Diceros bicornis minor: one gene and its partners. The protein of the gene in region 1 purifies or fractionates together with the protein of each later gene. This does not show direct contact. Links are inferred from orthologs where the notes say so. Each region holds a gene or a part of one and is shown in the gene's direction. Other genes may lie near its edges.

The links.
Region 2: the proteins of CSNK1D (region 1) and CRY1 purify together in Homo sapiens (affinity purification with mass spectrometry; 3 studies listed by BioGRID and IntAct, counting the BioPlex papers as one, with this or other methods). This does not show direct contact. The link is inferred for Diceros bicornis minor from reciprocal best matches to the Homo sapiens genes CSNK1D and CRY1.
Region 3: the proteins of CSNK1D (region 1) and SNX24 purify together in Homo sapiens (affinity purification with mass spectrometry; 3 studies listed by BioGRID and IntAct, counting the BioPlex papers as one, with this or other methods). This does not show direct contact. The link is inferred for Diceros bicornis minor from reciprocal best matches to the Homo sapiens genes CSNK1D and SNX24.
Region 4: the proteins of CSNK1D (region 1) and CRY2 purify together in Homo sapiens (affinity purification with mass spectrometry; 3 studies listed by BioGRID and IntAct, counting the BioPlex papers as one, with this or other methods). This does not show direct contact. The link is inferred for Diceros bicornis minor from reciprocal best matches to the Homo sapiens genes CSNK1D and CRY2.

The regions. Positions count from the first base shown.
Region 1 is NC_080757.1:61,657,373-61,665,124, reverse strand, and holds the start of CSNK1D (casein kinase I), read left to right. Parts: upstream 1-4,738; 5' UTR 4,739-5,026; coding exon 5,027-5,102; intron 5,103-5,938; exon of another isoform or gene 5,939-6,035; intron 6,036-7,752. UniProt on the Homo sapiens protein: Essential serine/threonine-protein kinase that regulates diverse cellular growth and survival processes including Wnt signaling, DNA repair and circadian rhythms. It can phosphorylate a large number of proteins.
Region 2 is NC_080764.1:17,168,483-17,175,997, forward strand, and holds the start of CRY1 (cryptochrome-1), read left to right. Parts: upstream 1-4,507; 5' UTR 4,508-5,341; coding exon 5,342-5,499; intron 5,500-7,515.
Region 3 is NC_080740.1:43,823,838-43,831,342, forward strand, and holds the start of SNX24 (sorting nexin-24), read left to right. Parts: upstream 1-4,488; 5' UTR 4,489-4,528; coding exon 4,529-4,588; intron 4,589-7,505. UniProt on the Homo sapiens protein: May be involved in several stages of intracellular trafficking.
Region 4 is NC_080770.1:24,329,850-24,337,822, reverse strand, and holds the start of CRY2 (cryptochrome-2), read left to right. Parts: upstream 1-4,959; coding exon 4,960-5,195; intron 5,196-7,973. UniProt on the Homo sapiens protein: Transcriptional repressor which forms a core component of the circadian clock.

The DNA.
Region 1 (7,752 bases):
CATGCGGGCTGCCAAGGGGCAGGGCAGGAGAGAGCCGGTGCTCACGGGAAGGGAGGGCAACCTTCCAGGAGGAAGGATCCCAAGTTACCTCCTGCCAAACCTTTTAGGATAGAGAGTTGTCTATACTAGGCTCTCCACTCCCTCTTCCCTCCCCCTTTTTTTTTTGGTCCGTGGATTTTTTAAAAATTGTGGTAAAATATGCACAACATACAATTTACCATTTTAACCATTAAGTGTACAGTTCAGTGGCATTAACCACATTCACATTGTTGTGCAGCCATCACCACTATCCATCTCCAGAACTCTTTCATCTTCCCAAACTGACACTCTGTCTGCCTTAAACAACAACTCCCCCATCTCCCTCTCCCTCCCCCTGGTAACTTCTACTTGACCTTCTGTCTCTGTGAATGTAACTCCTCTAGGTTCCTCATATAAGTGGAATCATACAGGATTTGTCCTTTAGTGTCTGGCTTCTTTCGCTTAGCATAATGTCCTCAAGGTTCAACCATATTTAGCATGTATCAGAATTTCCTTCCCTTTTTAAGACTGAATAATATTCTATTGTGTGTGCAGACCACATTTTGTTTATCCATTCACCTGTCCAGGGACACTTGGGTTGTTTCCAGCTTCTGGCTATCTCATTTTCTCTCAAACTTCTCTTTTTGCTGTCTTTTGTTAAAATCATGCGGAATATTTCAAATTGCAGCTGCCTGGAAAATCTAGAAATTTTAACAGGACAGCCTCTCTGGGCCTCAGTTTCTGCATCTCACAATGATAATATGGAAAGGAACAACACAGGTCAGCATTCCTACGGTTTGTTGATGCCCAGCAGGAGCAGAATGAGGAGACTTGCGTGGAAGCCAGGTGAGGAGGGCAGCAGCGGGGGTGACCTTCTCTCCATGGTCTGAGCCTGGGCACAAATCCCCTCTTCAGTGACTCTGGGCTGCCAGAGTCCAGAGTCTGGCTCTGGCCAAGGGGAAGTGAAGCAAAAGGTAGTCATGATTTGTGCAAATGACCCTGTCCCCTCCCTGCCCCACCCCCACCCGCCCCCATTAATTGGCTCCAAGGTGCCAGCCTTGGGCTTGCCAGTGACCTGTGACCTGGGGCAGAAAAAAACTGGCCAACCAGGACCAGCCAGTTACTTTCTCTCACAAAGCTGAATGGAGGCACGGTAGGGAGCTCAAGGGGCAGAAACTACTAGAAGCCAAGGCATGTCAGTCAAGAGGAGGAAGAATTGAGCCAAGCAGCTGGGAGGTGCAGGGCCACCATGAGAGACAGCAGCGAGGACCCCAGAGTAGCTCTCATCCCATGTCTAATCCCAGGTCAGGTGTCCTTCCAAGACACACACACACACACACACACACACACACACACACACACACGCCTCTTGTTTCTGGAGACTAGAGTGTGTATCTGCCCCCCGCCCCTAAAGGGTCTGACGAGAACCCTTGGCGTGAGGCCAGGATGGGAGAAGGGAGATGTGTGCTCTCAGGGTACAGGAAAACATGAACTTCTGCAGCTGATGCCAGCCTTGGCTGGACCTCGGAGAGCAGTGCGACACACCAGTGAATGAGAGCACAGCCCTCCATTCATTCACTGGGCGTGGGGGGCATAGCTGTACGGTAGAGGCTTCCTTTGGGGGGGCGATTAAAATGTAAACCTGTGGCGATGGTTGCACACCTCTATGAATATACTAAAAACCATTGAATTGTAGTCTAAACAGGTGGATTGTGTGGTATGTGAACTGTATCTCGGTAAAGCTGCTCACACATGCGCACAGACACACACAGGGCAAGCATGGAAAATCCTCCACACCCCAGGACAGGCCGTTCTCAGTCTGCTTCCCTGGGCTCCGCTTCCACGGAGGACAGAGGACAGACTGGGAGTCCACTCCCCTCCCACACCTCCTCGCCTGCCCAGGAGGTCACAGGGAATTTGGGTTATAAGGAAGGGGACAAAGTATTTGGAAGTGCTTTAAGACCAGGTGCCGGGGCAGCCCTGGTGGCGCAGCAGTTAAGAGCGTGCGCTCCGCTTCGGTGGGCCGGGGTTCGCAGGTTCGGATCCTGGGGGATCACTGACGCACCGTGTGTCAAGCCATGCTGTGCCAGCGTGCCATATAAAGTAGAGGAAGATGGGCACGGATGTTAGCCCAGGGCCAGTCTTCCTCAGCAAAAAAAGGAGGAGTGGCAATGGATGTTAGCTCAGGGCTAATCTTCCTCACAAAAACAAAACAAAACAAAACGAAAAAAACCCCAGAGGCCGCCTGGAGTGGGAATGGCCTGCAGACACACAGGACCCGGGCAGAAGCTCAGCAGGGACATGTGTGGGTCTGCACGGGCAGACCAGGGAGTCCAAAGGCCAGGAGAGGGACGGGCCCAAAAGACCTCCAGCCCCCACCCCCAGCCTTTTGGGTGAGACTTTCCTCCTACTGCAGTTTTGGATTGAAACAAGAAGACCCCAGGCAGGGCAGAGGGGCCCCCTGCTTAGTCAGGAACACACCTGGGGAATCTTGGGCGTGAGTGAGTTTTGAGGGCATGGCACAGGCCAGTGACCTTGCCGGCAGCATGAGGCTGGGAGCGGTCAATGAAATCCAGCTGGGGGCCAGGTCCAGGGAGGCCACCCCAACAGTGAAGGCGGGGTTTCCACCTCGCAGTTCTGTTTGGGGATGGCCTAGCCTAGGAGCTGGGAGTTCATCCACGTGAGTCATTCATGAAGCCAGCATTTACTGAGTGCCTGCTATGTCCCAGGCCGTTCCCAACAAGAACAGGGGCATGTGCGAAAGCCTCCTGCACCTGCCGGCCTTCTCCTGTGTAACTCCTGGTCCTCAGGCAACGCTCCAATGGACAGTCTGGGGCACTGACTTCCGTCCTTCTCAAGGTCACACAGTGAATGGCAGAGTAGGATGAGAGAGCAGCCGTGAGCACAGAGAGGATTCCCATCTGGAAGAGTGTAGAGGCCGGAAGTGGGGAACCAGCTGTCCTAGCACAGCCTCTGCAAGCCCTGGCCCCGCAAGCGTGCTTCACAAATGGGAAACTGAGGCACACACAAGGATACTGTAGCCACTGGGGCAGGCTACCTGCAGCAAAGTGCTGGGATAACAGGGCCTGGAACCCTGGCACAGGCCCCTGGTGAGGCCCCTCAAAGATGGTGGCTCTGCCCCTGCGCAGGCCTCTTCTGGCTGCTTTCCATCACAGCCGTGGACTGAAACACAGGCAAGGACTTTGGTCCTGCTGTTGGCCGGCTGTCCTGACCAACTCCGAGAACAAACAGGTGAAGCAGGTAGAACCACAGGGCCTACGGGGCAGCCCAAACAGCTACAGCTTCTTTTTTGAGAGGACACCAAGGCCCAGGAGGGGACCACTGGCCAGCGATCAGCCCAGGGCAGCTGAGCGAGTGGCCTGTCCAGTATTTCCAGGGAGCAGGGGCCAGGCCCCCTTCTGTTTCCAGTTTGCACTCGTGGCTTTCTCTGGCCGGGGAACTGGGCATTGTTCATCAGCAAATTCTGCCAAAAAGGCTCTTTTCACTGGTTTGGCAAAATCCCCCCAACCTCATAAGACTGAGAAACTAGGCTGACCACTGCACGTGGACATGGGGTGTTCCCAGTTGCCCACCACTCACTAGCGACTGATCCTGGCTTGCCTTGTGGCCTCTCTTTCTGTCTCCAGGCACTCCTTGCAATGCTCAGGAGTCTCCCCAACCTGAGCTCCAACGATTTTCCGGCATGGGCTGCACTACCGAGACTGAATGGAGGAGAGGGAGGACTCCGGAGTGGAGAGACCAGCCTGCCAAGCGCCATGGGAGGGCACTCACTCTGCTGTATTAACAGCCGGTTTTATGGTGCTTCCTTTTTAGCCGGGGTGGGGGATAGGCCTAGAGAAGCATTGACATGAAAGTCATTCCTTCTTGGTTTCCGTGCCTCTCTGGAGGACTCCCTTCCCAGTGACTGGAATCAACAGTCCAGATCATGAAGCTGGCGGTCAGCCGGAACATCAACATTCTTGTTTTATTTTGCAAGGAAGAATATTCAGACTCAACACAGGTTAGATAAAAACGTTGATTCAGTCTCCAGACCGATGGGACTGGAGAGGCAGGCAGTCTGGCCTCATCCTTTGAAACCCTGGTAGCTTCCCCTTCACCCTTCAGGTGTGACAGCTGGCTGAGCTGCAAGCCCGGGACTTGGCACAGCAGGATGGGAAGGGAACTGCACAGTAGACGTCCCCGGCCAGCCCCCGACCACCTCAAGAGGCGTGCACACCTGTGTCCGCTGTGGCCCGACCTGTGTCTCTGTCTCCAGACGCTGGGCCAGGAAGGGCGGCCTCCTCCTGGAGAGTCTCAAGGGCGCGGGTCCCCGGGGTCTAGAGGGACGGGCTCGGCCCCTCTCGTTCTCCTGCAAAAAGCACTGCCTGGCGGCCTGTCCCAGGCCTGTTGCTAAGAGCCACTGGCTTCCTCCTGCGGGGTCAAACGAGTTCCCCGCGTGAGCACGTGGAGCCTGCATGCGGGAGGGGGTCGGGCGGGGGGCTCTCGGCACGGTGCTGCGGTGCGGGAACAGGCGACAAACAGAGAAGGGAGCCGCCTGGGGTGTCCAAGGGCCGCGGAAACTCCGGGGCGCCCTCGCCCCCCTGCCCCGCCCCGCCCCTCGCGCAGCGCGGCCCCTCCCCCCGAGCTGCGCGGCCCCGCCCCTCCAGGTTGCTAGGGGAAGTGACGTCACAGCGCGATGGCGGCGGCTCCTTTAGGCTGCTGAAGGGGGAGTTAGGCCCGGGAGATCCGAGTCCATCCGCGGCGGGGAGAGGGCAAGGGGGGTCGCAGGGGCCTGGAGCAGGGGCGGCGGCGCTCGGACTGTTCTCTCCGCCCCGTATTGAGGCGCTGGGAGCGACGGGGCGGCCGGAAAGCGATGGTGAAAGCGGGGCCGTGAGGGGGGCGGAGCCGGCAGCCAGACCCGCAGTAGCGGCAGCTGCGGCGCCGCCTCCCCGCGCTTAGACCCAGGAAGCGGCCGGGAGAGTAGGAGCGAGCCGGGGCCGCCGCCGCCATGGAGCTCAGGGTCGGGAACAGGTACCGGTTGGGCCGCAAGATCGGCAGCGGCTCCTTCGGAGACATCTATCTCGGTGAGGCACTTCCCCCGGGCCTGGCCGAACCGAATCGGGTCCCCTCCGCCCGCGCCCCGGGGACCCCCGGCCGGCCCCGAGGCACTGGCCCCAGCGCGCCGGGCCCGGGGGTGGCGGTGTCCCCGCAGACCGACGAAGGCCGTCGGGCGTCGCGTGGCCCCGCGTCCTGGCACGTGCGGGCAGGTGGGCGCGGGGAGCCCCGGCTGGGCCCTGTGCAGCCGCGCGCTCGGGCCGGACCGTGGGCTCCGGACGGTAGGACGGGCGCGGGGTCGGCCGTGTCAGTGGTGAGTGGTGGCTAGGGACGTGTTGGGCATCCGTGCTCTGTCTTGGGCACCTGCGCCCGGACAGCCCTGAGAGTCAGGTGCGGTGACGGAGTCGTGTGAGGATGCTGGCGGAATTAGAGGCAAGGGAGGTAGGAAGCCCTGCTCGTGAGCCTGCCCTTTTGGCTTTGAAAATTCTCAAGGTAGAGTTGAAAAACACATTTGGGATTAGAATGTTCTGGATTGTTTCGGATTTACAGTGGAAGAATACGCGCACACACGTGTGTAATAAAAGGTTGGCTGGAATCTTAAAGTTGGGAATGTTAAAACAACTTTTCTGCATTTCTCAGAGGAATTATGTGTAAGTTACTGCACACCCCCTGGATTTGGGAACGTCCAACCTGGCACACGGTGTGTGTTCAGAAAGACTGAAAGACTGTCGTTGCGCAAGTTTGGGGTCAGCGTGTTGTGTTGTTGCGCAGCCACGCCCTGTTGTTTCTGTTTGGACGGTGTACCTGTCCGGGAGGGTCAGGAATAGCTTCCTGTGTCGGTAATGCCTCTGGTTATGCCTTTCAGACGATCCCAAGTGTGTGTGCCCACCGCCCTATCCTTCCTTCTTGGCCGGAGAAGACGCAGGACTTCGGGGGCTGTTAAGAGGAGTCGACGTGTTTGGGTAGTTCATAACTGCCTCTGGTGCCTAGATACCCTGACACCGTTACTGCCATATTGATGCCTTTGAACCTATACTTCTGCCTTACTGTCCTGCTGAGTAAAATACACTTTGGAAGCATTTGGAATTTAGTATTTAAATATTTATGTCCAGTAGTCAGCCAGCTGCATTCTCAGCAGCGTTTTGGGAGGCAAAGTGCTAGGTAAATGCAAGCTGTTTGCCTTATTTATAGAATAATAGGTTTTGGCAAAAGCTTTAACCTAGGAGCTGTACTGAAAGGCCATTCCATGAGCCACTCTTATGCAAGCATCAAAAAGTAGATGTGAAACTTTCTGTCCTTGCCAGACAGCTCTGTGCTTTCTAAAGCTGGGTTCAGACAATCAAATTGTGAAACGGTTGTCACCGAGTCATTCACAAAGGTGTAAGCTCTTCTCATCGGGACTGGGAGCTTTGTGGGGGACCCTGTCTGCTTATTCACTACTGCATCCTTTGGACCTCACCTGGTGCTGGGCACACGGGTAGCACTGGATACATATCAGGCTGACTGGTCCCAGAGGAGTCTGTCCTCAGTCTCCTGCTTCATGTGTGTTCTAAGATGGGTGGACTGTGGTTCTTGAGCCCTTGTTCTGAGTACCCACACAGCTCACGCATCAGGGTAAACTTAGAGTTACTTGTGTGGGATTGGGCACAACCCATTTTTTTCAATCAGTGTTGGCTCTTGGCCCACATGGCAGCCCTTTCAGGCTACGCACGACCCCACTGAGAAAATGTGAAATGATCTTGTTAGCTTGAGTAAGATGTGGCTAGAAAGGTGGGTCTGAGGAAGCTCACCACATACTGTCGTTAAAGATCAAAGATGACTGGTCCAAAGATGATGGGATGGATTGAGTCACCTGTACCATAGCTTTTTCTATTTGTTTAGGCAACTAATCAGGCATTAGTTAAGGAACTGAGTCCTGATCTTGAAAATTGGTATGTCTTAGGTATTTTGTGTGATTACAATTAAAATCATTCCTGCTACCATCCTTTTGCTACTGGTCAGAAGGCTCTTGACTCCTCCAGGTAGGGTCACCTTGTTTTGAGCCTGGTGTTTGGGGTCTTGGATTTCTGCCTGGAAGTTTCTGTGCTTTCACACGTTTGAAACTGGGAGTAGGGAAGGCTGTTCTTCAGCTTGCCAAGCGCCTTGTGGACCAAGAAGGCCCAGTATTGGTCTGTCTTTCTGGTGGCCTACTGTGCTGACGTGGTCACGTGGCACTGTGCCCTGCCAGTTATTCCAGTCCTTCCCAAAATTGCCCCTTCAAAGGGGGGCAGGATCTTGGGGCTATTTTCTCCAGTGCCCAGGCTTCAGAAAGTCTGTGGACTGGACTTGAGCCAGGTAGACCCCAAAACGTGCAGCCTCGATCCTCAGTCTGCCTCCCTCTCAGCTTGCCAGATCCAGAGAAGGCTGCTGGGAAGGCCTCAGAGCTCACACACCCTGGGCAGCACACAATTGGGCAGAATGTCACTGCACTTGGTATTGCAGGTGGTATAAGGTGAACCCCGCCCGGCCGTTTGCCTCCCTCAGCTTTAGCTTCCACGGGGTTGTGCCCCCTCGCTGCTGGAGGTGGTGTGTTTTTGAGGCAGTGGAAACCAGAAGTCCTTTTACTTTGCTGGCAGTATATCTCTGATATATGTGAAAACAAAGGGAGAGCCAGTGTTCTTAATGTGGACCATGTGTTCC
Region 2 (7,515 bases), on another chromosome or scaffold:
GATCTCTGGGTAGGGGCAGACATCTGGCCTTAGTTACTGATGGTCTTTTGTTTTACTGGATATGTATCAGAGACCGGAGCAACGCCCTACACCCTGATCTTTCAGCTGTCGTTGATGATGGCTATCAGCATAGACTCTCTGCCTGGGAGTCATCACGTTCCTAAGGAACTCAAAAGAACAAAGTTATCAACTTATAGCAGCTGAGAGGGGCCACAAAATCTGCAGAGCATATCTGGGTTAGTTATCAGAGGTCATTCCAAGTTACAATATGGTTTCTTTTCTACAATATGGCTTCCCTTGTGTCAACCTTGTGTTAAGCCAGTATCACTCCAAGAAGGTGAGAAAAATTATGAATGACTGAAATGGGCAAAAAAATTACTAGGTCTCTTCAAGTTATTCTCTGCCTGTCATTATCTTTAAACTATTTTACAACTCTTTAAATCGTAGATTATTGATAGCAATGCAAACGAATCTTGTCCATGGACACGCACATGGATATTGTCCTCTGAAAGTGCAATTGATTTCCCTACCCTCACCCCTTTGTAGAAGAAGTTAGTTTTGCATATAATAAGAAAATTCATTTTTAACATTCCTCATGGCCTATATATGTAACTGCTCTTTGGAATCTCCTTTTATTCCATTGTAACATCTTACTGGTTCCCTCATTAATTAACAAGTTAAGTGAAATCTTTGACATGTGTTCATTTTATATTCATATGAGAGTCATAATTTACCTTTTTAAAAAAATAATGATCCTTTAACACATCATATAAATTCAATCCCCCAAAGACTCTAGTGTTGGGGATCACTCAGCCAAGGGCTACCAGCCTAATATACACATCACATCAAGACTGAATGAGCTGGGCCGGCCCCATGGCTTAGCGGTTAAGTGCTCACGCTCCGCTGCTGGCAGCCCGGGTTTGGATCACCGGCGCGCACTGACGCACCGCTTGTCTGGCTGCGTCCCATGTACAGCAACTAGAAGGATGTGCAACTATGACATACAACTATCTACTGGGGCTTTGGAGGAAAAATAAATAAAATTATAAAAAAAAAAAAAGACTGAATGAGCTGATTGCACTGTCTACCCCTTCATTATGTGTTTGTTAATAACATGTCAAAAATCACCTCTGCAAGATGGGGTCAAGAGAGAACACAGGCTTTCAATTTAGAGGTAACACATTTTTATCAAGGGCGCTCATGAAATCAAAGAGATATTGATTTTTCTAACATAGTTGGCAGTTGAAAGAATGTTTAACAGGACTCTTCATAGATATTTTTGAGCCCATGACAGGGTTGTGTTCATAGAATCCTAGAATTTTAAAATAGTATAGAAAATTTAGAAATCATCTAGTTCAATCGCCTCCTTTTATAGATAAATTAATCAGGCCAAGAAAGCCCAGGTGATTTGTTCAGGATCATCAACTAAATGGTGAGCCGAGAGAAAATTCATTCTCTTTCTCTTAGTCCCATACTCTTTCTACCACCATGATGTTGAAGTCAACCAGAATATCACAAGAGATTCCTGACAACACTCCCCATCTTTTCCTTCTCCCTTCATACATAAATACTCACTCTGAAAAACAAGGGGAGTGGTAGTGTGAGTGAGGAATAGTATATGATAAAGAAAGAGCTTGGATTCAGAAACAGTCTTGGTTTTTCACCTAGTTTTACTACTTATTTGTATTTCTGAGCTTTAGTGTCTTTATCAGCAATGTGGGCATAAGTTATTATTAAATAATAATAAGCTGCCTCAAAAGATTATTATTAGGGTTAAGAATAACCTATATAAAGTGCCTGGCACATAGTAGGTGCTATTATTAAATGGTTACTACACCCCCATAACAAAGATATATTAAAGTAACCATCTGTATGCCATAAAAACCCTTCAGTCTTTGAGGAATGCACAGTTGACAGTACTGATGCTTTTATAATAAATTAGTACTTTTATGTGTAAATGAAACTTACACACACACCCACATACAGCTGTCAAAAAAATTCATCTTTATTGAATGAACAATCAGCAAACATAAGTCAACTCTACACCAATCAATATTGTCTCTCTACCTCCCACTGTTTCATTTGGATGTTTGAAAACAATTCTTATGTCTTTAGACACAATCTGCTTACTTTCAAACTGCCTAAAATGAAACATGAAACAATGTATTTTTGTTTTTGTGAGGAAGATTGGCCCTGAGCTAACATCTGTGCCAATCTTCCTCTAGTTTATATGTGGGATGCCGCCACAGCATGGCTTGATGAGCGGTGCGTACGTCCACGCCTGGGATCCAAACCCGAGAACCCCAGGCTGCCAAAGTGGAGCATGCAAACTTAACCACTATGCCACTGGGCCAGCCCTGAAACACTGTATTTTTAAAACTACAATAGGCCTGGGAATATGAGGCAATCCAAGTGAAGGCACCACAGGAATTTATTGTCTCACAGTTTTGGAGGCCAGAAGTCCAACTATTGGCAGGGCCATGCTCCCTCTGAAGGTGCTAGGGAAGGATCTGTTCCATGCTGCTTCAAGTAGTTCCTTGGCTTGTGGTAGCATAACTCCAATCTTCACATGGCATTCTCCCTGTGTGTGGGTCTGTCTCTGTGTCCAAATTCCCCCTTTTTATAAAGACACTAGTCATATTGGATTGGCCCACCCTAATGACCTCATCCTAACTTGATCATCTGTAAAGTCTTTACTTCCAAATAAGGTCACAGTCACAGGTACTAGGGGTTATATGAATTTTAGAGGGACACAAGTCAACCTGTAACAATTGCCATATCCTTCCTCCTTGTAACCTTGCCAAACACACTGGTGGCAAACAGATTCATTCATTCACTCAATATTTGAATACATGTGTCAGGCTCTATACCAGTGTCAACTTAAAAAGCAAATTTGCCAGTTATTTTACCCTCAAAATAAGTTTATTTGAGAATAGCCAAAAGAATTGCAATTCAGGATGTGCATGCAATGGCAAACCATAGGCAAATTCCGAGAACAAAGGAGGAGAGCTTGCTTTCATAGACAAAAAGGGGGAGCAGGGAGGGGCTGTTCTAAACAAAGTCCATTGGAGAAAAGTGACAGTTCAGGGGCTGTAGCCAGGTGGGGAGAGAAATCTTCCTTCAGTAGTAAAATAGTTGTACTTACTGCCAGAGATGCAAGCTATGTCTCTTCCTGAGTAACTAACCATGTATGATAGAGCCTGAGAGCTCCCCCTACAGACCTTCCCAACTTTAATTTAGTTAAGGTTTCTCTTATTCATTTCACACTAGGTATTGATGATGCAAAAAACAAATTGGACAAAAACTCTGTCCTTGAGAAGTCACACTTCTCAAGTTATCATAATGCTATTATGATAACTATTATGATAATAAAAACTGATATTTAGCACATATTTTGTGTTAGGTATTAAAGTAGGCATTTTTCATTTAATCTTCACCATAGTGTGATAAGTGATGCATCAGAGACATGCCTGGCGAGATGGGGGTGGTCCTAAACCCGCTTTGGAGGACAGGAATATTTCCACAAATTGGTAGCACTTCATCTGAATCTAAAGGGATGTGTAGCAATATACCAGGTAGCTCAAAGGTGATTGTAGTGATTCTAAAGAAGAGCATTTTATGGAGGAAAAATCAGCATGTGTAAAGGTTAAGAGACAGACTGTAAACTCCAAGAGGGCTGGGATTTTTGTCTATTTCCCTCTTGTATCTCCAACACTTTGAACAGTGCCTGGTTCAATAAGTAATTGTTGAATTAATATACGGGCATCACATGTCTAAGGCATGGCATGGACTGAAGTTCATTGTCGCTAGAAAGGTAGGCAAAGGCCTCATCACGAAGAGCCCTGTAAATCGCACTTAGTGCAAGAAATTAGGGCTGACATGTTGATGATACACAGACAGTATAAAGGAATTCCAGGGATGCCTGGCACCCACCCTGCCAATTACCCCTCTTCCCCAAAGCATGTCCAAGGGTGTCGCGCCGCGAGGGCCAGAAGAATGGCAGGGGCACCAGCTCCACACACTCAAAAGTAGGGTTCTCTGGCTAAAGCTGGATTGAAGCACACGGCTGGGCTCGAAGTCTAATGGAGCTTCCTACTCTCCTCCTTCCACCCCATCCTGCCTCACTCCCCTCCCCCAGCTTCCCCGCCGCCGCTTGGACGACACCACGTTGTCTCCAGCCCTTCCGCGAACCCCATGGTAGGAATCCCCCAGCGCACTCCGGCCCGCCGGCCCCGCCCTGCCGCCCTGCCGCCCTGCCGCCCTGCCGCCCTGCCGCCCTGCCTCCCTGCCTCCCTCTCTGCCTCTCTCCCTCTGGAACAGAGTGAGAGCGCACGCGCGCCCTCCCGAGCCAAGCGCGCGTCCGCGAGCTCCCCGCATCCCCGTGCTCATCCGGGTCTCAGCGGGCCTCAGCCAATGGTGGATGCTCACGGCCCCCAGAGGCGGAGCTAAGCCTCCCCTCACAGGGGCCGTGTGGTTACCGCGGGGGCTTCCAGGCCACGGCGACCTGTCGGCCGAGAAAAGGAGCAGTGGCAGAGAGCCCAGCGTCTGGGCGAGGATCGACGGCTCTGAGATCAAGCGGCTGCCGCCCCCTAGAAGCGACTGAATCATGAGCACATTCCCCAGTCAGAGCGGCTGTAGTAAACACATTTCAGAAACGTGAGGTGCCGGGGGTCACGTGGGGACCGCGCCCTCCAATGAGGATCCGGGGGCGGGGCCGAGGCCGCTGACGCGGCGGCGGCGGCGGAGTCACCCGGGCAGCCTCGGGACCGGTCACCGGCCGGCAGCCGTCCAGCGGCCTCGACCACCGCCTTCGTGCTCCGTGCTGCGTTCTCACTCCTCTTTCCCGGCCCGAGAGGCAGCGTGGCCGACAGCTGCTCAACCGTCTCTCGTCCCTCTCGGAGGCTCGCCTCCGGCGGCCCGTTTTCTCTTCAGGCGCCGCCTCGGTGGGGCGAGGCTTCCGTGACGAACCCGCAGGGGCCGCGGGTGCCGGCTCAGGCCGTCGTGGCGGCTCGGGCTCGTGGAACTTGCTCAGCCGCCGGAGGTCCGAGGCCCTCGAAGTTATGCGTCTGGTCCGCGCGGTTGCGGCCGGCGCCGGCTCCTAAAGGGCGTCACACCGGACTCCGCCGCCTGGGTAGCCTCCATTCATCTTCCAGCAGCGCCTCCAGCGCCCTCTCCCTCTCGGGTCCCCTCCTCGGACTCATTTTTTCCTCTCCCCGCTCTGCCGCCCTCCCCTCCCTCCCTGGGTGCGGCGATTCTCCTGGCGGCGGAGGTGTCGGTCATGAGCCGGACCCTCCTCCCCTGAATTTCTCCGGGAGGAACTCGGCGTCCGCCGCGCCCCGGGATGGGGGTGAACGCCGTGCACTGGTTCCGAAAGGGGCTCCGGCTCCACGACAACCCCGCCCTGAAGGAGTGCATCCAGGGCGCCGACACCATCCGCTGCGTCTACATCCTCGACCCCTGGTTCGCGGGCTCCTCCAATGTGGGCATCAACAGGTGGCGGTGAGTCAGAATCCCGTGGGAAATTGATTTCGGTGTTCACTGAATCGGGACTTGACACGCGATCCGCCCCATCTGCGAGTTTAGACCTGGGACCGCCTTGCTTATGCTGTTTTAAGAGTGTGGGTGCTTTAAGTATTAAATAGAACAGACTTACTAGCTCCCTGGCCCGAGCGTGCTGGCAGCCTGGAGCACCCAGGCCTTCGTGTGTGAGTTACGTGTCTCTGCGCTAATGGCAACTCTTCCCCTGGATTTATGGAGACTTATTAGTGGTGGAGTGAAAGAAACTCCCTCCCAGTCCTCAGTGGCCCGTGGATTGATTTCCTTGGCCTCGTTGTGGCATTCGAAAGGATTGCGGGTTTTAATGTTTACGTTTGTGTGTGTCTAGGTAACTCATAGTAGGGAGAAAATCATTCATTCAGTACAGTTGCCTCCAAATCCGTATTTCTCCCACCTTGAGGTTGCTGTAGGAAAAGCAAGGGAAACGGCATTGTCTGATTTCTCTCTGCCTAGCTCTTCCTCTCAACTCCTCCTTGTGGTTGATTAGACAAAGCACAGTTTTTCTTTCCAGGCAAAGTATAATCCTTCTACGGATCAGAGCCCTGGGAGAAATCTTGGAGAAGCTTTATGATCTTTTCCTGAAATATCAGGCTAGATGATTGTTAGGCCCCCTGGTGGAAATGAAAGCATTCCTTCAGTGGGTAGATTATTGATCACCTGCTGTATACCAGGCACTGCTTTAAACACCAGGGATATAGAGTGGAATGAAACAAGCAAAAATTCTTGTCCTTTTCGAGCACGTGTCCCAGGAAGTGAAATATATAGTATTTGGTGGTGATAAATGCTGTGGAGAAATACAGAGCAGAGAAAGGGGATAAAGAATACGAGGGAGTGGGATTAGAGTTGCGATTTTAAATATGGTGATCAGGAAAAACTCAAAGAAGGTGGCAATTGAACAAGGTGATGAAGCAGGTAATAGGTTGTGGGTATCTGGGGGAAAAGCATTCCAGGCAGAGGGAACAGTAAGGGAAAAGGCCCTGAGGTAGAAGTGTGCTTATAACCTTTGGAGGAAACAGCAGAAGAAGCCAATATGACTGGAGCAGAATAAGTGAGAGGAAAAGTAGTAGATGAGCTCAGAGATTTAATAGGCCCAGAACGGGTAGAGCTTTATAGGCAATTGTCAAGATTTGGGCTTTTACTCAGAGCAAAGTGGGAATAATTGTAGGATTATGAGCAGAGAAGTGACTTGATCTGACTTAAGTTTGAAAAAAATTTCTCTGGCTTTGGTTCTGAGAACAGAGTGAATTGGGGGTGGAGGGGGACAAGAAGCAGGGAGACCAGTTAGGAGGCTGTTGCATGCATCCAGACGAGAGATGGTAATGACGTGGACCGTAGTGATAGTGGTGGACTTGGTGCGAAGTAGTCAAATTCTGAGTATATTTTGAAGGCAGAATCCACAGTATTTATTGGCAGATTGGATATGTGGTGTCAGAGAAGGAATCAGGAATGATTTCAAAAGTTTTTGGCTTCAGGAAGTAGAAGGATGGAGCTGCTCTTTGTTAAGAAAGTGAAGTCTGTCAGAGAAGCCATTGGGAGGGTGATTGGAACTCTCGTTTGAACTTGGTTAACTTTGAGATGTTGATGACACATCCAAGTGGAGATAGCAGATAGACAGTTGAATGTATCTGGAGTTCGAGACAGAGATCCAGGCAGAAGGTATAAATTGGAGAGTCATCAGTTTATAGATAATATTTAAAGCCATTTATTCATCTATTTATTCATTGAACAAATATTTGTCATGCACCTACTACATGCCAGGCACTGTTTTAGGTTCAAGGCATTTAGCATAAACAAAATTGCTGAAAAATTCCTACCCTGTTGAAGCTGCATTCTAGCAGAGCCGTGAGACTGTGTGAGAACATTAAGAAAGTGAGTGTAAATAGAAAGGAGAGGAGGTCCAAGGACTGAGCCTTGAGTACTCTAATGTGTAGAAATTGTGGCACTGTGGAAGAACCAGCA
Region 3 (7,505 bases), on another chromosome or scaffold:
AACATCTTGACTGCAACCTAAGCTGCTCCCAGATTCCTAACTCACAGAAACTGTCGGAGATAATAAGTATTTATTGCTTTAGGCAGCTACATTTTGGGGTAATTTGTTATGTGGTAATAGATAACTAATTTGGATTTTTTTTTTTTGGTCCATTTGCATTCTTCTGGGAATTGCCTGTTCATACTGTGTCCATTTCCTATTGTGCCATTAAAAAAATTAATGTAGTTATTCTTTATGTATAACATATACATTAATCCTTTGTTATACATGTTGCAAATATTTTTCTCAGTTTATTGAATTTTTTTAAACTTAGACGGTTTTTGGTTTCCATTAATTTTAAATTCTTATCTAGTCTAAAATATAATCTTTCCCTTAATGTCTTTGACATGTATATTGTAATAACACTTTGTCTACCTTGAGGTTTTATAGCTTTGTTTCTTCATAGTGCTTTTTTTTTACTACATTTGGAATTCATTTTAAAATCTATTTTACTTTTCTCCCTAACACATAGCCAGTTATCGATAAACTATTACATCATTTATTTAAACTTTTAAACATTCATTAAAACTTTAAAACTATTTAAACATTTATTAAAACTAAACACCACTTATTTAATAGCTTATTTTTTACCCCCACAGGTTTGAAATATCATTGTTGTTTCATACTATGTTTCTATATATTCAGGGATCTATTTCTGGGCTATTTGATTCCCTTGATCATTTCTCTAATTCTGCTCCAGGATCATACTGGTTTAATTACTATGGCTTTATAGTATGTTTTGATGTCCTATAGATTAACTTACCTCTTCATTTATTCTTCTTCTTCTTCACACTTGCCCTGGCTATTCATTTTTCAAGTGAATTTTATTTTATTTATTTATTTTTTTGTGAGGAAGATTAGCCCTGAGCTAACATCTGATGCTAATCCTCCTCTCTTTTTTGCTGAGGAAGATTGGCCCTGGGCTAACATCCGTGCTCATTTTCCTCTACTTTATATGGGACGCCACCATAGCATGGCTTGACAAGGGGTGCGTCAGTGCGCGCCCAAGATCCGAACCTGTGTACCCTGGGCCCCTGAAGCGGAGCGCAAGCACTTAACCTCTACGCCACTGGGCCAGCCCCACAAGTAAATTTTAGAACGGCTTGTCACTTTTCTTAGCTTGTTGGAGCTTTGATTGTATTAACTTTATAAATTGTTTTGGTGAAAACTTATATCTTTAAAATATTGATTCTTCCCATCTAGGAACATGATATAACTATTTTCAGATCTTCTTTTATGTTGTTTAATAAAGTTTTCTTTTTCTTCATATAAGTCTTGCACATTTATTGTTAACTTTATCCTTAGAATTATAAGTTCTTAATGCTGTTATTAATGAAATATTTCAGTTTTCTGTATGTTATTTTCTAACTGCTTAATGTTGGGCTATAGAAAGCTATAGTATATGAAATCTATTGATTTGTATATGTTGATTTATGAAACTTATGTAACTCTTTTATTAGTTCTAATAATTTTTTAGTTGATTCTATTCTATGTAGATCATTTTATCTATAAATAACCCTAGTTTTCTATTTTCCTATCCAATATGTGTACCTCTTATTTCTTTTACTTCTCTTATTGTATTGGCTAGGGCCTCCAGCAAAATGTCAAACAATAGTTATGATAAAGTTATTAATACTGTTATGATGCTTCCTCATATGATGTTGAATAGGATATTTGCTGTGGAGTTATAGTAGTTAATCTTTATCAAATTAAAGATTTTTTTTGCTATTTCTATCATGTTAAGAATTATTAGGAAGAGATATACTGATTCATTAATGTTTTTTTCAGGATCTATTGAAATACTCATTTATTTTGTTTCTTTTCTAATCTGACAATGTTAAGAAATACAGCAACAGATTTCCTAATGTTTAACCATCTGTATGTTCCTGAGATAAATCTTATTTGGTCATGATGTGTTAGTCTTACAATTGAATGTTGACTGTGTAATAGATTTTGGTCAAATCTTCTAACATAAATTGGTATTTAAAGCAGTTTATAATTAAATTTGCTGAAATATATTTTTACCTAATATTAGGTAAATTGTATTTTTAGTGTAAGGATTTCATACCCAGATTCCAGCAGAATTTTATTATTTTGCTTATATGAGTTTTTTGCTTTTATTAGAAAATACTAATTGTTCAGTGTCTTATATATGTATTTGCTATGTATTTTTATTAATGTTCTGAGAATATATTTAGCAGGCCTGTCACAGACTGTAGAGTCAGACTAAGATATGTTGGAACAACAGGATAATACATTTGCCACATTCTCTTCATTTACTGCTATTTTTTCTCCCTTCCTTAGTGGTTACTCACAGAACTTAGTTAGAAATTTAGATCTTCTAATTATTAGCTAATAATTTCATAGTTATCCTCTCTGAGCCTCAATTATGCCATCTATAATAATTGAAATTATAACAATACCACTTATGGCTAAGCTGATAGATCCTCAAGAACACACCCACATATTGGGAGCTTGTATATATTTTCAGCAAGGCAAAATTAAATTATACATAGCTATTAGAATACAGCAAATAGGTTTCATTTGAATTCAACCATCTGTCACATCTCCATGGACCCACACATTTCTGCCTCTTAAGTCCAATGGGTAAATAGGTGAGCCTTGCTAGACTATATATACGCCAGGCTACTAGCAGGCTGTTGTGGAAGGTCAGTACAGAAAGCATACTACAAGCTTGATCAGCAATCTGTAGCTCAAGGATTTTATGATTATATAATCCTGGGTTACATCACCCACTGAGACTTTAATAATCTGTTTCAACCAATCTTGAAATTGTTTTGGGGGTCTTCTGCCATCAGCAGCCATTACTATTTTAAAAACAAAAAAACAGAAACACCGGTTTTAGGCCTTGAAAGTCCTATTGCCCATAACACTTCTTCATGGGGTTGTTATAAAGCTTAAACGTGACATGGTATGTAACGTATGTAATAGCATCTGGCATAGTACCTGCTGCATCCCATTGGTTTTGTAAAGATGAGTATTTAAATGCTTATATAAAGCTTTCAAGAAAAATGTCCCTGGCATTGTGCCAGGTAGGGGATAAAAATTTTTTTTAAAAAGGTACTTGCCCTAAAATCTAGTGAGTGAGGCAGATAGATAAATCACACAATAGTGTGTGTAACAGTCACCAGAGGATCAAAGGAACCAACAAGCTGGGCTCTGAATTCAGACAGCATGGAGTCCATAGAGCTGTGCTTACATCAGGAGGTGCTGGCCCGTAGAAGAAAAAGAGGAAGGGCGGTCTGGTCAAAGGGCACAGCTTATGCTGAGGAATTCTGAGGGGCAGACACATCACGGAGTTGCGAGCTTGTGGGTGAGGAGGGTGGGTCTTCAGATGAGGTTAACGTAGAAGGCTTTGCAGGGTCCTTAAAACAAAGGAGCTGATTATTCCTCTTTTCCATGACTTAGGGTCTCATTATAAACTTTAGAGTTTGCCACTGTGAAATGCCCCCTGGCCTCAAGGCACAGTTGTTCGCCTGCAGCCCAAGAAACTCTCTGGCTGAGGTCACTTCTCAGTGACCCACAAGTCACCTCCAAGTTTCCATTCTGCTCTGTGCTCTAACCTAAGGAAGAAACTCAAGAGTTTACAAAAGATAACCTGACAATCAAGTTTCCTCTACTGGAACACTTCATCTTTTAGGTACTTTCAAGGTTATTAGGTCCTGGCCCGAGGGGCAGAATCCGGTTCTCACCTTTCTTTTCTTTTCTTTTTGTTTCGTCTTCTATTTTCTTTTACAGTTAAAAAGCCCTATACAGTTATTTAAAGGCAGCATTTTAAAACTGGAGCAAGAAGCTGGAGCGTTTGTCTCAGTGCCCGGCCGACTTTCGGGCTCTGTATTGTAATACCACTCCAAGATTCGGCGGCTAACTCGGAACGAGACGCCGACCCTGGAATGGAAGGGAAGCAGAAAAGTCTCCGTAAAAGTTGGAGGATTCATTGCTGTTAATGCCAGCCAGTGATGTCTGCTATGTCAGAACGAACATTCGGCCAACCAAAACAAAATCAAGAAGCTTCATGCTTTTCTATTCCTCGCTGTCGTGCAATCGGCTAAGGGTGGTGTCTTGCAAATTGCAAGCCGGCGCACGCCGGGGCCCGAAGGACAGGGTGCGCCCGGGTGCGGCCCTGTCCCCGGCGCCCGGCGCGGTGGCGCGCACACCCCTTTTCTGCAGACTCACAGGTTTCCAGGCCCCGCCTCCTCTGGGCCCAGCCGATCCCTGCCGCCTTCGGGCCCAGAACCCAGCTGTCCAGAGCCCCGCGCCCTCCGTTCCCCGGGCCCCGGATCCCGCCCCGGGCCCTCTCAAAGCGCGGCGGGCAGCGGGGTCAGCAGCCGCTCCAGGTCCGCGCCGCGCAGCCTCGGGGTCCCGAGGGCGCAGGGAGGGGGGCGGGGCGGCCGGGCCGGGGGCGGGGCGGCGGCCGCAGCCGTGAGCCCGCCCCCCGCTCGTCCTCCGCCGGCCGGCTGGCGCGGCCATGGAGGTCTACATCCCGTCTTTTCGCTACGAGGAGAGTGACCTGGAGCGGGGATACACGGTAGGCGCGGGCCGCGGCCAGAGGGGGCCCCGGGGGCCGGGCCCGCGGCGGCTGAGCCCGGGAGGTGCCCCCCGCCGCCGCCGCCCCTGCGCAGGGGGTCCCCTCGCTCTCCTCCCCTCCCCTCCCCCGGCCCAGAGGGAGGGCTGCGCCCCGCGCGGTTGTCAAGGCAACGGGCACCCCCTCCCTGGCGCGGCGGCTGCGGGCGCCCGGGGTCCCCGGGTTCGGTCCCTTCCCCCTCCCAGCCCGGCTCCCGCTCTCGGAGCAGGAGCGCCTGGAGTCGAGTCTTCCGACGCGGCACTCGCCATTCTCCCCGCCACCCGCGCTCTCGAGCCCGGGATGGGCTGCATTCGTTTCTGGCACAGCTGCTCCCTTTGCCCAGACAGAAGTGGCTTCGCGGTGGGTTGATGTTGGCTTCCAAGTTCTGTAGGATTCATTCAGCTGAAAAATATGCTCATTTTTAAAAATCCTCATTCGTAGCTATTTATTAGCCTAAGTGAATACATGTATTGCTTTTAGATGGATTCCAAAGTTTTTTCTAGTTCTGCAGTGCCATGAAATGGCAAAATCAGGTACTTACTGAGCACATGTTCCATACTTGGGACTGTGATCACCGAGAAATGAGAAACAGGGACCCTGCTGGCAAGAGTGGAGGAGTGGGCGGGGAGAGCAGGCACCAGGGCCTGGGATCTTTGGGTAATAAGTTTAGTAAGTAAACTAGGTGGTTGATTTCCCAATGAATTTAGACATCTTCATCTAGACAGTCATTACTAGAGGGAGAAATACCTGAGGCTGGGTAGACCTCGGAAGAATTTATTTCCAGTTGTTAAAGAGCAGGTAGGCTTTGGAGAGCATTGCAGAGGGCAGCTTGAAAGGATTGTGATTTTATTCACTTCTAATTCACTCACTTACTAAACCCAGCTACATTAATTTGGCAAAGAAGCATTTTAACCTCTCTCGCCTCCTCTAAATGTTTTTGGATTTTGGTGACAGCCTATCTGGAACCTAGTGTTTTCATAGGGAGGATTAAATCACCCTTTCAAAGGAATTTTTAGAATTAAGAGTAGTGATTAAAAAAAAAATCCAGATTGTATGTGGGTTTTTAGAATTAAGTAGACAGCTGGGTTCAAGTGTCCCAAAACATGTACTCAGAGTGCCTTCCATCAGGCAGGAAACTGCAGCTGAGGGGGAGCTGACCTCAGTATAGTGGCCGTTATTTATATAAATAATCCTTTCCAATGAATTAACATTTGGTTAAATATTCTGTATCTTCCTTAAAAAAAAAAGTTGAACTTAAATCTGAACCTATTCAAGGCTTTTTCCTTAAACTTAATACCTTGGTTGTCTTTTGTTCTTCCAGTATCTCACCTCTCCCATAGGCATCAGCAGTCATGGAGGGCCTGCCATCTTGGGGGCATTCTTTCAGGATCTGAAGATAAAAAGGCTGCTTGTTAGGGGCCTTGGTCTTTAGAGAAAAGATGAAGGTGGTCTCAGCAGTCCATGCTAAAAGTTAATTACATCCCAAAATAAGTACTTTTAAATAAATCAAAATTAAGGCTCATTGGCCATTATTGATTTTCTTCTATTAGAGAATCTGTGTTTTCCCCCAAAGTTTTCGTATAGTTTTTTTATTATTTGTACACCAGGCGTGAGCCAGACTCCAGGTTGTGAATTAAACTGGTTTCGAAGGAGCCCTTTCCTTGGTAAACGTGGTAGTTTGAAGATTGCTTATGTGATGAGACTTTGTGTGATCTTTAAGAATTTACTTAAAAAAAAAATCTTAACTCATTTTAGATTGGTAACCATATTGTTAAGATACCTTCTGCAAGTGATTTTTTTTTCCTTTGTGAGTTTGCCAAGCAGCCAATTAGATACTTTGTTCCCTCTGAGCAACTATTTTTTAATTGTACAGCAGTTTATTCATTCAGCAAATATTAACTGAGTGCCTGATATATGTCTCTACTCTAGGTGATGGGAATATAGCAGTGAATAATATTTCATCTTGTAAAACAAAACCCCCCAGAATTAAAAAAATATACTCTCAATTTCCTAAATAAGAAAATGGTAAAATAATGTACACTTTAGTGTAAAAAGTTCCTTTTTACTTTAGTGATTATGTTTATATTTTAAATTGAAGAAATATTATATTGCATTCCAACAAATTCAGTGATAGGAATTTTAAAGTAGAAAAAGATAATTCTTCCTCCCTGTTTCTAGTCCCATGCCCTCAGAGGTAAAACCTAGAGGTGCTTTCTTAGAGACTTTTTCCCCTATGCTATGAAAACATGTTTTTTCTTTTTACGAATAAATGGCAAGATTTTACTGTAACGGTCATCCTACAACTTATGGATTTCTTTCTGTGTCAATATGGATAGGTCTGTCTCCTCCTTCTGACTTCCAGCAAAGGGATCTTCCACAGTAGGAATGTACTATAATTTGTTTTCCCAGATCTCTGTTGATGGCCATTGACATTTGCTCCTAATATTTAGCAACTATATCAAATGTTGAAATAAGACATCCCTGTACATGCTTTTTTATGCCTACCACTGGAATTTCTACTAGAAGTGGTACTTTCGGGCTTTGTAAAGTTTTTATAAATATTGCTCACTTGTTATTCAAAAAATTCATACAAAGTTATGTGCAATATACAAAGTTATTTACTTTTAAAGAGTGAATTTTTTCCTTTTTAACATTTAAACATTTACTGTGGGCCTGCACAGTGTCTGGTGGGGAATTGAAAGATGGAAGGATGTTGTTCCTGTCCTTCGGGATTCTCAGCCCATCCAGGAGGGGCAAGGGTGGGGAAGGATGAGGGTGCCCTGATGTCAGCTGGAGTCCTGAGGAAGGAGGGGGCGGTTCTGCTCTGCCTTAGGTTGATGTGCTGGGGGTGGGGATGGGGATGCTTAGGAATGCTGACTTT
Region 4 (7,973 bases), on another chromosome or scaffold:
TGCTTTCCAGGTCTTACTTAAGAATTCTTTATCTATCCCCAAGGTCATAAGGATATTCTCCTATATAATCTTTTCAAAGCTTTACTGTTTTTTTTTTGTTGTTACCGCTGTCAAGTCAACCATCAAGTTGACTCTGACTCCTAGTGACGCTGTGTACAGCAGAGCTGAACCTTGCCCGGTCTTTTTGTGCCATCCTCTCACCTTCTGGCGCTCTATCAGACAATCCTCCCTGCTATTCGTAGGGTTTTCATGGCCAATTTTTTCAGAAGTGGGTGACAAGGTCCTTCTTCCTAGTCTGTCTTAGTCTGGAAGCTCTGCTGAAACCTGTCTGCCATGGGTGACCCTGCTGGTGTTTGAAATACTGGTGGCAGAGCTTTCAGCATCACAGCAACATGCAGCCGCCACAGTATGACAACTGACAGGCGGGTGGTGTGGTTCCCCGAATGGGAAGCGAACCCGTACTGCAGAGGTGAGAGCACTGAATCTTAACCACTAGACCATCTACTGTTTTATATAATCTACCTGAAACTGATTTGTGTGTATGTCCCAAGATAGCTGTCAAGTTTCATTTTTTTATGTTGGGATATCTGATTGACCCATTTCCATTATAGGAAAAACCACCTTTACCCTACTTCTTTGCAAAGACATCTCTGTCATGATTAAATATCCAGATATGTGAAGGTCTGTTTCTGGGTTCTCAGTTCTGAGACTTTTGTCTATCTTGCTCCAATTCCACGCTGCACTGGTATCATCGTTACCATCATCATCATCCCCAGCATCATCATCCCCATTTTACAAATGAGGAAACTGAGGCACAGAGAGGCTAAGGAACTTGCCCAAGTAATTTACTAGTTAATGGCAGAGCTGGAAATAGAACCCAAGGAAGCCGGTTTTTGGGTCCATGCCCTCGTAATAGTTCAAACAACAAATCTCAAAGCAGGCTCTACGGGAAGTCTTAGAAATAGGAAAGCCGCAGCCGCACACTGCGCATGTCCCGTAACTAAAGAGAGGAGGGTGGGGCTCTGGGGCTCCCGGCTCAGCCCCAAACGGAGCCACCGCGTCTTTCCCAGACCCACCACCAGAGGGCGCAGATAACTTAAACTCGCCAGGGTCGTCCCTCCCGCCCTCCCCTGGTTGGCTTGCAACCAATCATAAAATATTTACCCAAAGCGCAGTTCAAAGACAATGTAAAAAATTGCCTAATCCAGTCTCCAAGCAGGACTACAGCAAAAGGACAAAACTGGACTGATTTCAGTTTTCTTAAATATCTTCAGTGAAGAAAGAAACTTCCCACTACCTGGCTAATTTGTCTCATTCCCAAACCACTTTATTATACTAAGTCCCTCCTTGAATCTCTTACTCTTCCTAGGGTAAACTGGATTCTTTTGTTCTACGCTTAGTGGAAACAAGGAGCAACTGTTTGGCATCCTCATGGCAAACTCTTCAGACATGCTTGTAAATAACGACGTGTAGAGCTGTAAGGTCAAATCTCAGTTCTCATTTCTCTCAAAGCTATAACAGTACACGATTACATGTTACCTCTTAGCAATGTACAGGTTTCTTTGGTCTCTCTCCAATTTCCCTATGTCCTTTTGAAATGTGAAGTCCCAAAGTGGACTTTGCACTCCAGTATTCCACCCGTGACAGATTTATTTCCTGATTCTTGAATGTTACCCTGTTAATATACGCAAGCAATGTGCAATCATTCAATAAAGTAACTCATTTTTTATCAACCTGATGAAAGATTATATAGGTATTAAAATAACAATCACAAAGGCAATGACATAGCAATATAGAACATGCTTAATATTTCATTTAAAAAGCCATGCAAACACTGTACTTCTGCCTTGATTAATGCTATAAAAAGACGCTTATGGACAAAGTCTAGAAGGTAACATAAAGGTAAAAACAATAATTGACTTGTTTGGTTTTGGGGGTTGATGGTGATTACTTCTCTCTGTTTTGCATTACTGGTATAATTTTGAGGACTTTTTAACTGATTAAAATCTTTTATTCACTCAGCAACTTATGGAGCACTCATTATGTGAAAGACCCAGGGCGAGGTGTTGCAAGGAAGACCAAAGCAGACACAGATCCTGCTGTTTAGAATAATAGAATAATAATAAGCTGATACTTATTAAATGCTTACTATATCTTAGCTACTATTATCATCCCTATCGTATAGGTGAAGAAAGTGGGGAACAGAGAGGTCAACTAGCTTACCCAAGGTCACACAGAGTAAAAGTAGAACCAGAGTTTGAACACAGACATTGCAAATGTGCAAGCCCTTGGACTTAACCACCATACCACACTGCCTTTCATGAGAGCCTAAAAAGACAGAAATAGATAAATAACATTCAATCATTCAGCAAATATTGATTGAGCATCTACTACATGTCGGGGACCAAACTAGTACTGAGAAGACACTAATGAGCAAGATAAGCACAGTCCCTGCCCTCATGGAGCTCACAGTCTATAAAGAAAGCATCATAGGAGTTCAGAGGAGAAAAAGAGAAGACTACTCATCTTTGAGGCTGTAGGGAAGAACCATCTCTTACACCCTCTGTTCCATTCCTAGCAGAGCATCCACCTTGTGGAGAGAAGAGGAGATGGGAGAGGGAGGAACACAAAGTCCCAAAAGAAAAATAACGAGAGGTGGCATCTATTCATTCAGCAAGCATTTGGAGAGGGGATTCAAAAGTAAAGCCAGGGTCAGGACTGGTGTCTATGCAGATACCAATAACCAATCTGTAGATAAGAAAGAGAGAGTGATATTTAATGAGCTAATGTGAGGACTAGCCCAGAAGTGCTCTCTTCCCCAGGGAGGAAAGCACTCCAGGGAAGCATGGTTTACAGCGTTGTTATATATGAGTTCAGAACGAAGAACATACATCAAGCATGACAGGAATACAGTGTTTTTTTTCCAAAGTCACAAGGAGATGTTTTGCCTCAATTTAGTACACACATAGCAGGTCAGCTTGACCTTAGTTCTCTGGGGAAAAACAAAGCTAATCTTCACGGAAGTACTGGTATCAGAGAAAGGGAGACATTCACCCCTCTTTAAAGAGTGCAGTTGTTGCTTTGGGAAAATCTTTGAAGCAGATGTACAATGCGTGTTTGGTGGGCCATAAGTCAGACTGCTCTGGGAAAAACAAGTTTTGGGCCAAATCAAATTTAAACCAGAATGGCTTCCTCATATACCTCAATATGTGAAAACTTCTTATTATTCTTATTATTTTCATCGCTGGGATAGACCTTTAAGGTTCCTGTCAACCTGAGACTCTAGTTCCTGTTCAATTTTGACTCAAATGTCTTCAAGCATTGAGTGCCAAGCACTGAGCTAGATCCTGGAAATACAACTATAAGTAAGCCACGGCCCCTGCCCTCCAGGAGTTTATAGTCTAATGGGGCAGACAGACAAGTAAGAAGTTCCAGTAAATGTACTAAGGCCAGTGATAAGAAGCAGCACGGAAAGAGATGAGGCACTATGCCGGCTTGGACCAGACAGCAAGGAAGTGACATCTTTACTGAGCGGTGACACAGGACAAGCTGGAGTTCGAAAGTGGATGGGGTGGGGAGTGTGATCCAGGCTTGAAAGAACAACTTGGCAAAGTCCTGGAAATGAGAAATCCTAGGATCGCAACGATGCTCTGATTTATAGAGTGGTGCCAATTAATGCCACTAAATTGCTGACTAAATTGCTAAATTCTTTCATTGCTCATTCCCAAGTTCAGAAAGGGTTCCGAGCATGGGCACAACCTAGGGCCAAATTGAAACAGACTCTTCACTTGATAACTGCAGAGCTCCACCCTGCCTAGGCCATCTTAGCCCACCGTCACTTCATTGCAGGTGTTCATATGCTTCTCCTGCCATTCAGTCAGTGGGGCCGTCAATCAGCGAGACCTGCGCTAGACTCCAGAAGAATAAGAAGCCTCAACCCAATTCCCCAGGGGAGGATTGGGGACAGTGTCCTCCACATCTTTGAGTCCAAGACGAATCCACCACAGTGCTTTGTGCACAGTGGTACCACTGGATCTACTAAACATAGAACTAAAAGAAAATAAATTCATCTGATGGAATAATTACTATCTCAACCCACGTCCTCCACATTCGCAGTCCCTACTCCCAGCCCATCTACTGCTGCGCATCAGCGCACTCCACCCCCTTCTCAGACTCTGCCACTTGCAAACGACAAGTTGCTCAGCGCAAATAGAAGCGTAGCTTTGTGGATAAAAGCAGAAGATTTGGAATCAGAATAATCTGGGTGGAGTCCTCTTATTAGATTTATGATATTGAGCAAGTCTCTCAACCTACGGCAGCCTCAAAGTTTTCTTCGTCTGTAAAATGAGAATAAAACAGCTCTTTCACTGGAGTTTTTGAATGAACGCAACTGGGCTGAGTTGTGTAGTAGTAAATGAGACAGTCTATGTAAGGAGATTATCACGTTGCTTGGCATATAAAATACACTCAAATAGTAGAATGCTGCAGATGATGTAATAGGGTGAAGGCAGAGGAGGAGGAGGAGGAGGAGCATGGTGCTGTAGGACGGCCGGTTGTCAGTCCTGTAAGTCACTGGCTGGACTGGCAAGCCCCACCAGCTCAGGCAGTTTCTTCCAGCGGCAGGCCTTGAACAGGACGCGCGTAAGAGATCCGCTGCCCCCAGACTCGGTGCACGCCCAGACCTCCGCAGGGAGGGCCAGCCTGCGTCACCCGCCCCGCCCGCCGGCTCCTCCCCCGCCGGCGGACACATGGTGGGAACGTGATGGGGCGGGGCCGAACTCGGCGCCGCTAGGCCAATCGCCAGGAGGAAGGCACCCAGCCAATGGCAGAGGCGCTCCAGGGCCAGAGGGGCGGGGCCACAGGGAGGAGCGGCGGCGTCATAGGTCACTGGGCGGGCTGGGGGCGGGGCCCGCGGCGCCGACGGGGCGGAGCAGCGGCGGCCGAGCAGTCCCGGCGGTGATGGCGGCGGCGGCGGTCGTGACGGGGGCAGGGGGGGCTCCGGCGGCGGCGGCGGCGGCGGCGGCGGCGGCCGGAGCGGATGGCGCCTCCTCGGTGCACTGGTTCCGCAAGGGGCTGCGGCTCCACGACAACCCGGCGCTACTGGCGGCCGTGCGCGGGGCGCGCTGCGTGCGCTGCGTTTACATCCTCGACCCCTGGTTCGCGGCCTCGTCCTCGGTCGGGATCAACCGATGGAGGTGAGGGGCCAGGGACGGGGGTGCGGGCCTGGGGGACGCAGCCTGGCCGCGGGGCGCTCGCGAACAGCCCGGGCCCCCCCACAGAGAGGGGGAAGCTCTGCCCCGCAGTCCCCACGGCCGGAAGACTCCGGCCTAGGGAAGCGGGGCAGGAAGACCCAGCGGGGTCCCCAGAGGGGAGAAGCCAAGATGGGGAAAGCAATTAGTCATCGTGCCAATGGCCGGGGGGGACCAGGGCTCGGCCTCTGACAAAGCGCTTCCTCACTCTTTATCCCCTTGGGCCTCACAACATTCCAGAGGACAGAGATCATGGTCCCCGTTGTACAGATGAGACTCTTGAGCCTTAGAGACGCAAAGTTGCCCTGCCCCAGGACTTGCGGCCAGTGCGTGGCAGACCGGGGACTCCTGGTCTAGGGCTCTTAGGGGTGCGCTCAGGGCGGGGAGAAAAGGAGATTCTGCGCTGTGAGGGCAGGGACGGGTTTCTGAATCCATAGCACAGCAGACGCGTGCACTCTTCGAGTAAAGAGCCCATTGCTGGGCTCCTGAAGGTCGTCTCTAAGCCTCTGGTGTGTTTGAATCCATCTTTTCACCGATGCCGACTGCCCTTCCACCAAGACTATCCTGCCTCTGGAGGTGTCTAGAGACTCTGGCTTAGCATTAGATAAGAAGGCAAGTGCCCTCTCCTATGTGTTATAGGTACAGACCCCAAGGCCATGTTCAGTTAGAGGCACTTTGTCTCCTGACCTAGAGAGCAGGACTGAACCCATTTTGGAGAATTCCCTCAGCAGCAGTGAGCTTGCTAGGAAAAAAAAAAAAAAACACAGTGTTACTTCCTTCCTCCCCTTCTTATGAGACTGATCTTAAAGGACAGTTGAACCACCAAAGATTAGACTTTTATCAACTGATGTGCTGAGGTCAGGGAGCAGGAAAACTGCTATCAAGGGCCCGTCTTCGATTACTCCAGGAAATGGAGTTGACAGGATCTTGGGAAAGGATTCACAGATAGGTAGTTGATGTATTTTCTCTGTAATCAGTGTTTAAAACCAAGGCGTTCTGAGACATCGTGTACTCATCTGTCATTAAAACATCCCACAGGAGTCATTCGGTTTGTTTGCGTGGTTCTGGAGGATGTTTGCTGTGGCCATATTGCGTTGGGCAGGGTTATTCCCAGGATACAGTGGCTCTCAGCACACCGTCCTTCCCTCTCCAAGGTGTGTGCCCTGCTGGGAGAGTGAGGGCTCTAGCAGTGGGTCTGTGAAATGCCCCCTCCTGCCCCACTTATATAGAGAGAACAACTAAAGATAGTCCTGTGGAGAGCCTGCCCACACAGTTTTCAGGCGGCTCTGTTGCTCTGTCTCTGCTCCAGTTTCTATAGATAGGAGGTTGGGTTCCACAGACATCCTCAAATGGCCATCTAGCAGGAAGGTTAAACTGAGCCTCAGACTTTGCCCCTCGCTTATGTCAGTGTGCCAATCCGAGCAGAGTAAATAGATCAGACTATCGACTTGTTACACTGTCACCAAGGAGTTTCTTTTGTTGGATTTTGGGGGACATCGCAGAGGACTGCCTACTCCTTTGTGCTAGTAGAGATTAAAAATCAGCAACAAAAACTCTTGCTGATTAAACTCCGATTTGCTAGGAACTAGATGTTTATGGATTTTTATGGGTCATGCTTTTGTGATTGTGCTTTCAAGCAAGTGAAGGAGAAGTGGAATGTGGCAGCTCAGATACCTGAGTCAGATCCTGAAGTCAGAGGCCGTGTAGGAATGCAGATTTTAATTGAGCAATTGTTTTAATGAGTGCCTAATATCTGCTAGGCACTGCCCTAGGGGCTGCTCAGGTCACAGCAGTGAACAAGAGGATGCCGTGTCCAGAGCTCCTGAAACCTACATTTTAATGAAGGAAGACAAGTAAACAACCATAATTTAGTAGAAGTGCCATGAAATAAATAAAATAGGAGGATGGACTAGAGTACTGACTCTCAACTTTGCTGCATATAGCAATCACTTAAGGATCTTTAAAAGATGCCTCACCCCCCTTCCCCCAGTTCTGATTTAATTGTTCTGGGTTATGGCCTGGGCATTAGGGTTTTTAAAGCTCTCAGGTGCAGCAAAGCCTGAGAAGCACTCGACTAGAGAACCACAGACCTGAGCCCGACAGCTTGGAAAATGTGTTGCTGTGCATTGGCAGGAAGTCTAATTAGTTTTGGCATTCAGAAGAAAGAAGTGAAATGACACAAACAGATCGAATGTAATAACTGCTCCTGGGCCTGGAAATAGACACACTCCTCCCACCCCCATACTCTTTGCTCCTTTGATTGGATGGAGGGCACTGCTGCACGCTCCTTTATGCACTCGGTTGGGGGGAGTGATGGAGCCAGCCATACCTCTGCGTAACTCGAGTATGTGTAATCTTCCGGGGGCTGTTTCTGGATCCAGGAGTGATCTGGGAGAATTGCGCTGCAGCACAGTGTCCTCACTCTGCTTCACTTGCTGAGAAGCCTCCCTAAGAAGGGTGGGCCCCGGGCCATCTGCAGGATGGAGATGGCACCAAAATCTGTGATCTCTATTATCTCCTGCGCTTCCTACACTGACTCCCACACAGCGTTTTTTGGCGGATGAATCAGATTAAAATAACCATGAATGGCACTTTCTAAGAGTAAAAGAGGACAGAGAGAGGCAATTAAGAAATATGTATGTTTATGAGCCTAGGAGAAGGGCTGGCATTCTCCTTGCTTTGGTGGTGGTGGGAAGTTTATGGACTAACTGTAGCTATATGAGC